Linked DNA regions of Oryza sativa Japonica Group. Each later gene encodes a partner of the first gene's protein in a complex. Links are inferred from orthologs where the notes say so. Each region holds a gene or a part of one and is shown on either strand. Other genes may lie near its edges. The genes, in order: carbon catabolite repressor protein 4 homolog 6, carbon catabolite repressor protein 4 homolog 4 and probable CCR4-associated factor 1 homolog 11.

Evidence for each region.
Region 2: carbon catabolite repressor protein 4 homolog 6 (region 1) and carbon catabolite repressor protein 4 homolog 4 share a complex: the UniProt entries of both Arabidopsis thaliana proteins name them as parts of the CCR4-NOT complex. The link is inferred for Oryza sativa Japonica Group from reciprocal best matches to the Arabidopsis thaliana genes AT5G11350 and AT1G31500.
Region 3: carbon catabolite repressor protein 4 homolog 6 (region 1) and probable CCR4-associated factor 1 homolog 11 share a complex: the UniProt entries of both Arabidopsis thaliana proteins name them as parts of the CCR4-NOT complex. The link is inferred for Oryza sativa Japonica Group from reciprocal best matches to the Arabidopsis thaliana genes AT5G11350 and CAF1b.

What each region holds. Positions count from the first base shown.
Region 1 is NC_089035.1:24,732,565-24,734,957, reverse strand, and holds part of carbon catabolite repressor protein 4 homolog 6, read left to right. Parts: intron 1-85; coding exon 86-120; intron 121-327; coding exon 328-418; intron 419-848; coding exon 849-941; intron 942-1,068; coding exon 1,069-1,101; intron 1,102-1,178; coding exon 1,179-1,267; intron 1,268-1,366; coding exon 1,367-2,393. UniProt on the Arabidopsis thaliana protein: Acts as a catalytic component of the CCR4-NOT core complex, which in the nucleus seems to be a general transcription factor, and in the cytoplasm the major mRNA deadenylase involved in mRNA turnover.
Region 2 is NC_089039.1:18,948,463-18,952,765, reverse strand, and holds the start of carbon catabolite repressor protein 4 homolog 4, read left to right. Parts: upstream 1-1,371; 5' UTR 1,372-1,523; coding exon 1,524-1,615; intron 1,616-1,696; coding exon 1,697-1,776; intron 1,777-1,915; coding exon 1,916-1,965; intron 1,966-2,100; coding exon 2,101-2,150; intron 2,151-2,642; coding exon 2,643-2,712; intron 2,713-3,285; coding exon 3,286-3,407; intron 3,408-3,544; coding exon 3,545-3,654; intron 3,655-4,031; coding exon 4,032-4,182; intron 4,183-4,303. UniProt on the Arabidopsis thaliana protein: Acts as a catalytic component of the CCR4-NOT core complex, which in the nucleus seems to be a general transcription factor, and in the cytoplasm the major mRNA deadenylase involved in mRNA turnover.
Region 3 is NC_089038.1:35,499,153-35,502,470, forward strand, and holds probable CCR4-associated factor 1 homolog 11, read left to right. Parts: upstream 1-1,541; 5' UTR 1,542-1,652; coding exon 1,653-2,642; 3' UTR 2,643-2,763; downstream 2,764-3,318. UniProt on the Arabidopsis thaliana protein: Ubiquitous transcription factor required for a diverse set of processes. It is a component of the CCR4 complex involved in the control of gene expression.

The DNA.
Region 1 (2,393 bases):
TGATCACTTTGAATTGAAGCTTTCTTTATGCTGCCAATCTTGCATGGCCTATATCTGCTAATCGTTTCCTCATTATATTTTTCAGTCGGTGATTCCAGGAAATGTGCAAACTGAGTCTAGGTAATTGAAACTTCAAGATTTCTAAACTATGCATCACAGTTGTGAGTTGTGACAATGGTGTTATGCTGTCTCCTTTTTATTAGTTGTTTCTGGCTTGTGTAGTTCCTATTCCACGTTCCTTTATTATTGAAGAGAAAATTTCATAACCCACATGTCCACATTGGTATTATCTATCCATGTTTTTATAACCATTCTTTCGTTTCACAGCCCTAACCATCCTCAACAAGCTAAGCAAATTATTGTATGCAATACTCATGTTCTTTACAATCCAAAGAGAGGGGACATCAAACTTGGTCAGGTATTATGTTGTGGTCACTCGTGAGTCTTAATTTCCTACATTAGTTCAGACTTTTATAGTATGATTTTTTTTTCACCAGAATTAGCCTCTTGGCCTAAGCACTTTTGTTTTTAGTATAACATGGTAAAGAAATAACACCTTGTTAGACCTTAAGTACTGAGCAACAATGTACACCTTATCTTCCATCGTGTTGCTTTCTGATGCTTTCATGGCATCATTTGAGATCGTGCATTGTTTTCCACCCTCTCGTTGTAGATGACTAGGTGGGTTGTGGTCTTTTGCTATTATCTTGTTTTATACTTTCATCACTGAAACAAAGTATAGCTGCATTACCTAGTATTTCTATCATCTTTCTTGACCATCAATAGTCAGTACATTATGCACCTTCATACGTATTATTTGAATACTAATTTTCTTGTCATACTTACAGGTAAGGACGCTTCTTGATCGAGTGTATGCTCTATCAAAGACATGGAATGATGCTCCAGTAATAATTTGTGGAGATTTCAACTCTACACCCAAGGCAATATTCAGTACCTTACCATTTTATATTAAAGATTCATATCTGGTTCACTGTATTTCTTGGACATTTTATTACATGCTTACATGTAACAAGGTCAAAATGTCTGACCCATTTCTTCCTCATTCAGAGCCCTCTGTACAATTTTATGCTGGAGCAAAAGGTAAAGAGTGTTCTGTATTAACTTGAAAATGGCTGTTTTTGAGAAACTGAAACTCACACAACATAATAATCATGCAGTTGAATCTGTCCGGTCTTGTGAAGAGTAATATATCAGGGCAGCAAACTAGTACTGCACAGGGACTATATACTGGTCCTAACACAGCTCGGTGAACCTTCTGCTTTATCAGAGACACCCTCTTTTGACAATTTTTTCTGCATATTTTAACCTAACTGACCTTTGTTTGATGCTTTTTGGTATTTAACAGATTCTATCCGCCTTTTCACACGACGAATAGTAAGGAGGGTAGCATAAGTTACCCAAATGATCATAAGCCTCAACCTGAAGCAAGAAATGTAACGGAAAATTCTCGTCTTTCTGGCAGAGAACCAACTTTGACTGATACTGCTTCAGACTCTTTCTTAAACCCAGAGAGCTCTACAAATCCTCACGAGCAAGAATTAATGGGCTGTGTGAAAGGTCCTACAAAGGAAGCCTATACATCTGATGCTGAAGCACATACCAACACCACTAATGGTGAAGAAACTTCAGTGGTTAACAACTCCAGTGAAGGATATGGAGTAATAAAAAAGAGCTCTGTAGAAGAAACTAACGTTACAAACTTTTCGTCTGCTTCAACGACAGTAAATGATGAGACCCTTCAGTCAGATTCGAGTGAAATAGTTGATAGAAGTCAGCTTCTTCCATCTTATGAATCATCTGAATCTAAAGATTCTTGGGAAGAATTAGCTGGTGGTAGCAATAACAGTTCAAATACCCTGGCAAACTTTCCTGGTCATGTGATTTCTGGAAAAGCTACTTGTGATTTTGAGCGAAACAATGTCCAGTCAGATACACTGTTTGATATATCAAAGGTCAGACCCGATGAAAAGGAACAAGACAGTGAACCTTTGTCTACTCAAAATAATTGCATGCGTAGTGAATCAAAATCAAATTGTTTCAGTGATCCCCTGAAGTTTGCTGATACACTTCATCAAATGAGTAATCTGAGGCTAGAAGAAGAAAACAATACTGAGCCAACTCAGTTAACATCACCACTAGAGCCTTTGCAACACACAGATTGTGCCTTTTCTGACACTTGTGATGTTCAATGTACACCTGAAGTGATAAACAGGCTTTCAAAATCGCATTCATGTTCAAATGAGCTTGGAAATTGTTCTTGTGCTTTTGAGGATGATGGGGCATCCAATGAAGTTTTGTGCTCAGATGTGAATGCAGATCCTTCCATCTTTAAAGAGTTTTCTGGTGTTAATGAATTTTTACTTGAAGATGAA
Region 2 (4,303 bases), on another chromosome or scaffold:
AGAGGAGTTTAGAACGGGTCTTACTGCAAGTTTTATAGTAAGAGTAGTTGTCACATCTAATTTTATCCCTATAAGATAGGAGGTGATATAAACAACACACCACATCTACACTACCTCCAGCATACTAACCCAAATAATTTTATTTTATTTGTTTGTCTAATCCCCTCTTTCTTTCATCTCCTTGGGGTTTGTGTCATTGTGGGGAGGTTGCCCCTTGCATGAGGGGTGACTCACCTTCTCTTTCTTCACTTATTTTTTCCACCTCATATCTAATCATATATAGTATTTTTAGGGGCAACATATTAAGCATTAGAGTACTTGCTCTTAGGCTGTGTTCGGGAGGTGAGGTTAAGAACAAAGCGGCACATTTTCTTATGATTAATTAAGTAATTACTTTTTTTAAAAAAATGGATTAATATTATTTTTTAAAACAAGAAACTTTTTGTAAAAAAAAATTATTTAGCAATTTAAAAAATATGTTTGTGGAATACGAGAGAGATGAGTTGGAAACCCAAACGGTCGAACACAGCCAGTGGAACTGGTTATCCATTATTAAGGTTTCTCGAGTTTAAGAAAAAGAACATTAGGATCCACCATTGCCCATGTCAAAATCCAAAACAAAAAGTGATACCCTTTGACATAACAAAGTTATGTGTTTGTCTGGATATACTTATACTGTAAATTAAACTTTCGGCTCAAAATCTCATACGTTGTATACTACAAAACAAAATCATTGACAAAGCTTAATGTAAATCGAAACAATCGTGTCCTAAATTACTAACATCACAGTTTAACTGAGTGATAAATAGATAATAGTCAAAGGGAAAAGGGAAATTATTTGTATGGATGAGTTAAATACTACTCCCTCCATTTCTAAATATTTGACACAGTTAAATTTTAAGCACATGTTTGACTATTCGTCTTATTAAAAACTTCTGTAAAATATGTAAAACAATATGTCTACATATAAGTATATTTAACAATGAATTAGATAATAGAAAAAGAATTAATAATTACTTAAATTTTTTAATAAGACAAACGGTCAACATATTTGAAAAAGTCAACGATGTCAAATATTTAGTAACGGAGGGAATATTACTTATGTATAAAAAGTTTTTTAAAAATCACCCTTTTGAAAACGCAGCATGAATAATTCATTACCTGTTTATAATGTGTCCTGACTGACTCGATAACTTATGGTGGTAGCAAGCACATTCCAATCCGACTAGAGTTAAAAGTGCCGACGAAAACATAATTTGGCTGAAATCCCTTTTCTTATCCCATCCGTGGCCATCTCTGAAAAGGAAAAGGAAAAAAAAAGAAAAGAAAAGGGTATTACTTCAAATATACTGTACACCGGCGCTTCTCACCGACAGATCGGGCCCAGTTATCAGGTTTGAATCAAAACGCTTGAGCGGTGGAGCCACAGCCGTACAGCCGTCGGCGGCGGCGGCGGCGGCGCGACCATCTCCTCGCGGCCAGATGCGCGTGTTCCGGCGCCGGAGAGCCCAACGAATCCGCCGATGCTAAAGCTCCAAGCTTCCCTCCCTCTCTTCCGCCTCCGTCCCCGCCCCAGCTCCCCTCCTCCCTGCGGCCCCCGTCTCCCCTTCGTCCCGTAAGCACACGCTGATCCCCGATTCCAAACCCCTTCCCCCCCTTTCTACTGTTCTAATGGATCGTGACACCGACGAGTCAGAATTTGCAAGCGGCGGATGAGCACCCAGGCGCAGCCCAGTTTCGCCCCTCTCCCCACGGCGCAATCCGAATCCGATGCAGGTTGTGTTTTTTCTTTTCTTGGTCAATCTTAAGAAGCGAGTAATACGATTTTGATTGGTGGTTGATTGCTAGTATTACTTGCAAATCGCGCAGGCCCAGGGTAATTTGTATTAAAACTGTTTTAGTGTTTGGGTTACAGGGGCAGCTGGGTACCAGTTCCGGCTGGTTTCCTACAACATCTTGGCCCAGGTAGGCTGGCAATATGCTGTTTTGTTCTGTTGAGCTGCTTATGGTTCGGTATTTTCTTTGGTGACGATGAGTGGATTACAGTATTCACAGAGGAAAGAAAACTAGCTGCATCTAACTATTTGATCTGTGTTGCAGGTTTATGTGAAGAGTGCGTTTTTCCCGCATTCTCCATCTGCCTGTCTCAAGTAAGCTCTTGACTGACAAGCTTCTTCCTAGAATTCTTTTGGGTTTCAATATTTTCTTGCGACCACTTTAGTGATTCTACTAAGCATTAGAGCAGTGGCAACACACTGCGGTGAATGCCAAATAATTTACTATGAAAGAAAGACATTACATAAATACTATGTTTTGTGTGCATTGCACATTGGTTCCCAACTAGCAGCAATGAGCGCAGCCTTAGTAGCATTCAGGTTGTACGAATAGATTTATTTGTCAACAGTAAGCTTTACGATATGATGTTTGTACATTTATATTTTCGGACAAACTTGAGTTCCATTCTCAGTTCTCACCATGAGTAGACCCAGCCCAAGAACAAAGTATAAAACTATCAAAGGATTGGTGCATCAGTGTGCTAGTTTCGTTTTGTGACTGTAAACAATTTTCCATTTCTGTTCTAGTCCCTGCTCTTCAATCATTCATTTGTGGACTGTATGCTTCCCCTCATGTTTGAGAAACAGGTGGAAAACTCGGTCTAAAGCTGTTCTATCAGAACTCAAGAGCTTCGAAGCTGACCTCATGTGCATACAGGTTGGACAGACTTATGACTTTTTAAGCAACTCATTTTTTTCATGTGGTCATGTACTTGTCATTGATAAATATAGAATGTGAACGTTTTTAAATCATATTATATCCTTATTTGGTTCTATATATGGTTTATGTAACATTCCCCAAGTTTGTATTTAGTGGATTGAAAAATACCCTCCAAGAAAAAACTGCAACATTGATTGGATCCTAGGATAAAGGGAGCATTAATCCCAAGTTCTCAACGTGACAGATTGGAACCTGATACACAAGGTTCCTAGTGCCAAAACACAACACAATGGTGGATAGTAGAAAGTTTTGGCTATTACTGTTTCTCAAAAAAATTATGTAGTCTTCCTCCATTATGCCCAACACAAATTAATTAGTGTTCTACTCATTCAGAAATAAATATTGGGAGGGTTACATATTACATATGATTGTATTGTTTCAATATTTAGTCATGACCTATATTAATGTGTACTTTTGACCCTTTTTTTTCTTCTTTGGAATATTTTTGTCTGCTTTTTTCGTTCTTTGGAACATTTTTGTCTGCTTATTTTTAATATGTGGTTTGCTCAGGAGTTGGATGAGTATGATACCTTCTACAAGAAAAACATGGAGAATTCTGGATATTCAAGTATTTACATTCAACGATCTGGGGACAAACGGGATGGATGTGGCATATTCTATAAACCAAAAAGGTATCCATATTGTTTCAAATAAGTGATGATTAACAATGAGAAGACAAGAATGGAAATTATAGTATGCATGAATGTTTCGATTGACTTGCAAATTAACTTCTCAATATCCCCCTTTTGGGCTATTCTTACTTTTACAGCATGGAACTGGTCCAGAAGGAAGTACTACATTACAATGATTTAGTGGAAAAATATGTTCATACTGATCATGTAAATAGTGATACATCAAATAATTCTTCACCAACAGAAGGTAATGGATCAGCTGCTCAACTTGATATTATCCTGTGAATCATAATGACTTCTTTCATTGGAGGCGACAAAAGGTAAAGTAGTGAGCCAGGCTAAACAAACTACTTACAAGTTACAACATACAAACTATTCTGTCATATCTTGAAAACAAAGAAAGTAGACAAATATTCAAACTCCACATCCAAACTCATGAAGTACAAATTCTTTGGGCCTCCACTATTATGATTCTACCTTTGGACCTTTATCATTAATCATATTCTAGCTAGGACATAGATTTGTCCAATTGCATTCCGTACTTATTTTATGTCTGCTGTATCTGTGGCTAGTATGATGCTCTACCTAAGTTAATTGGGTTAATTCAGTATTATGCTCTTTCAGAAGCAAGCAAGAAGGTGGATAATAACAAGCATGGAGATCCAAATGATCCACGTTTCAGATTGAAACGTGACTGTGTTGGTTTACTTGCCGCTTTCAAGCTTAATGATCCTTGTGATCATATTTTAATTATGGCGAACACACATATTTATTGGCAAGTAAAATGGCCAGAGTTCTCTATTATTCTCGTTTTGAAGATGTTTTTTAAGCCATCTGTCTGTTTTATTTTGTATATCTGTATTGGATCCCCTGTTCATACTATTCTGATTTTGTAG
Region 3 (3,318 bases), on another chromosome or scaffold:
GTTTTTTTCATTCATACGATTCAAAGTGCCATAATCAGAAATAATGCAAGGTAATCCTTCCGATACTGTCTACCAACCACGGAAGACGCGGATGCATAAGTGGGAGTAGTGTAGAAGGACCGGCCAGGAGGAAGAAGACTCACCAAACGCGAACGCCGACGACCGGCTGGCTATTTCGTTGAACACTAGCACACGCAAGGAACGGAATATACTCCTCCAAGTGTTTCGCATGGACGGTCAAGTCAATTCCGGAGGCCTGCAGCGGCATCTGCCCCCCCCCCCCCCCCCCCCCCCAATCCCATTCGATTCTCTTCAGCCGCCGCCGCACCGCAGCTCGCCCCGCGCCGCTGGCTAGGAAAAAACAAAAAAACGAGTCGGCTCACCTCACACGCACGGCGCACGGGCCGGGCAGCGTGTGGCCCGCGACGACCGCGACCGCGAAAGCAGCAACCTGCGGATGGAGCAGCGGCTAGCGCTTGGCGTGAGACAGCGGCGAGGTTCCCTTCCCTCCCTCGTCCCAGTTGCGGTTTTGGTTTTCCAGCAAAGCACAGCACAGCTGCACGTACAGGTACAGGGATGGGGGAAGAAAAACGTGTACTAGATGGCCACCGCCAAAGTGAGAGCGACGGTGCGGTGCCTGCACACTAGTGTACGGCCTACCGGACTACCGGTGGACTACCGAACGCACGCATACGGGAGGGAGGAGTCGGGGACCGGGTCGTTGCTGCTCCTCGGTCGGTCAGCCTCAGCCTCATGAGTGATGATGACTAGTCTACTGGAGTAGTACTAGTGGCCTCGCCAAGCTCCATTGGTTTTGTTTTGCAACTTCACCACGTCGGCAATTACCGCAACAAGCCGACCTAACGGAGGGGGTGGGAACATGTATGCACCGAACCTGGTGCATGTCCACGTTCAGCGTACTACCTCTCAACTTGGAGCATCTCTGCTTATTAGTGCTCTGTTTTGGCCGGGGTGCACTGCACCCAAATACCAACTAGCACCACCAGAAATGTGTCCTCCCTATACTTTATACTCTACCAGCCGACTAGAGTATACTAGCACTACTCCTACTTTATCCGTTTCACAATATAGACAATGCTAGAAAGTCTTACATTATAAAACATAGGGATTATATAATTATAAATGAAAAAAATTACTAATAAAATATTAGTACAGAATTCCGAATGCGTACGTACGGTATCGCACATCCGCTGCAGCAGCTGCGGAATTAAACAAACCGGGAATGCGTCCACCTCCCTTGAACTCAATCCAAATAAATAATAATAAAAAAGAAACCCACAATTCCGGGCAGATGCCTCTGTGTCTGCAACACGGTCAATCCACGCGCGCCCCTAACCCCAATCATTAACCCCGTATGTTAACGCACGCCATAAACGCAGACGCACGGCCACCGTCCGTTCCTCTATGCGCACAAATCTCAAAGCTCCCCACGCCGCTTTCCCCTCACGCTCCTGCCGCCTTCCGCGAATGGATGCGCCGGTGGACTCCTATAAAACGCAAGCTCTCACTCGCCGCAGTCCAAACAGGCAAACGCACTCGCATCTCCAATTCGGTCCGAATTTTTCCAAATTCCAATTGCTCATCGCGCTTCGAATTCGTTGCCGAGATCCATCCAATCTTTGAGTTAAGACATGCCGTCAGAGTTCGTCGCCGCCAGGAAGAAGCCGCCGCCGGAGTTGTTGTTCGCCGCCGGTCGGAAGAAGCAGCAGCCGCCGCCGCCTGGCATGGCGTTCGTGCCGTCGGAGTTCGCCGCCGCCGGCGTTGGCAGGAAGAGGCAGCCTGCGCCGCCGGTGGAGATACGCCGGGTGTGGGCGCACAACGTGGAGGAGGAATTCCGGATCATCCGCAACGCGATCGATCACTTCCCGTACGTGTCCATGGACACGGAGTTTCCCGGCGTGATCCACCGCCCGACCAAGCACCCCGCCCTGCTCACCGCCGGCGACCGGTACGACCTCCTCCGCCGCAACGTGGACGCGCTCCACCTCATCCAGGTGGGCATCACCCTCGCCGCGTCCCCCACCGCGGCGCCCGCGCTCGCCTTCGAGATCAACCTCTCCGACTTCGACCAGCGCGTCCACCGCCACGCCGCCGAGTCCGTCCAGCTGCTGGCGGAGCACGGCGTGGACCTCGCCGCGCACCGCAGGCACGGCGTCAGGGCGAGCGCGCTGGCGCCGCTGCTCATGTCGTCGGGCCTCGTCTGCTCCCACGGCGCCGTCAAGTGGGTCACCTTCCACTCCGCCTACGACTTCGCCTACCTGGTCAAGCTCCTCATGGGGCGGAAGCTGCCGAGGTCCATGGCCGAGTTCCTGAACCTGGTGCGCGTCTTCTTCGGCGACGAGGTGTACGACGTGAAGCACATGATGCGGCACTGCGGCGGCGAGCTGTACGGCGGGCTGGAGCGCGTGGCGGCGGCGCTGCAGGTGAAGCGCGCGGCGGGGCGGTGCCACCAGGCCGCCTCCGACAGCTTGCTCACCTGGGACGTCTTCCGGCGGATGCGGGAGCTCTACTTCCTCAAGCATGGCGTCGAGGCCTACCAAGGCGTGCTCTTCGGCCTGGAGCTCGACATGGACATGCCCAGCAACAAAACACCCTCGCTGCCGCTGGTGGCAGCGAGATGATACGATCTCCTCTCCTCCGCTGTAAAATTTGTTGATTCGTCGTCTGCAAGAAAGGATTTCTTTCGGCAGATGTACAGTAATAATAAGAGGGAAAAAAAGATGGTTTAATTGATTGGTTAAATTCGGTTGATTTTCTCGTGTGGTGGTTTAAACTTTCACCGTTAAAAAATTGGGCGGCTTCCCCTGTTGTTTGTCATGATGAAACGGCTATAGAGAAAAACGCGTCGTATGAACAAAAAGGCAAAAAAGGCCATGCGCACCGTGTGCAGCGCAGCGAATCGCGTCGCATGTTGGGAGTCAAACGAGCAGCGCGTGTCATTCGGTCAAAGTGCATACTAGTGTACTATGGTCGGCCGGGTTTAGTTCCAAATTTTTCAACAAGTTTTTAACTTTTTCATCGTATCAAAATTTTCCTATATAAAATTTTTTAATTTTTTCATCACATCGTTTCAATTTCAATTAAATTTTTAATTTTAGCGTGAACTAAACACACCTATGCATGAAGAAGGAAAAAAAAAAGGCTACAGTAGTCCTGAACTTATGATGAATGAAACGGTGAGATTGACTCGTTTTAAGGTCAGACGATGAGTGTGAGTTCAGGGTGCTAGTTCATGCGTGGCATGCTAGTTTCGTTCAGTTAGCCGACCGGTCAATGAGAGAAACAGTCAAACAAATC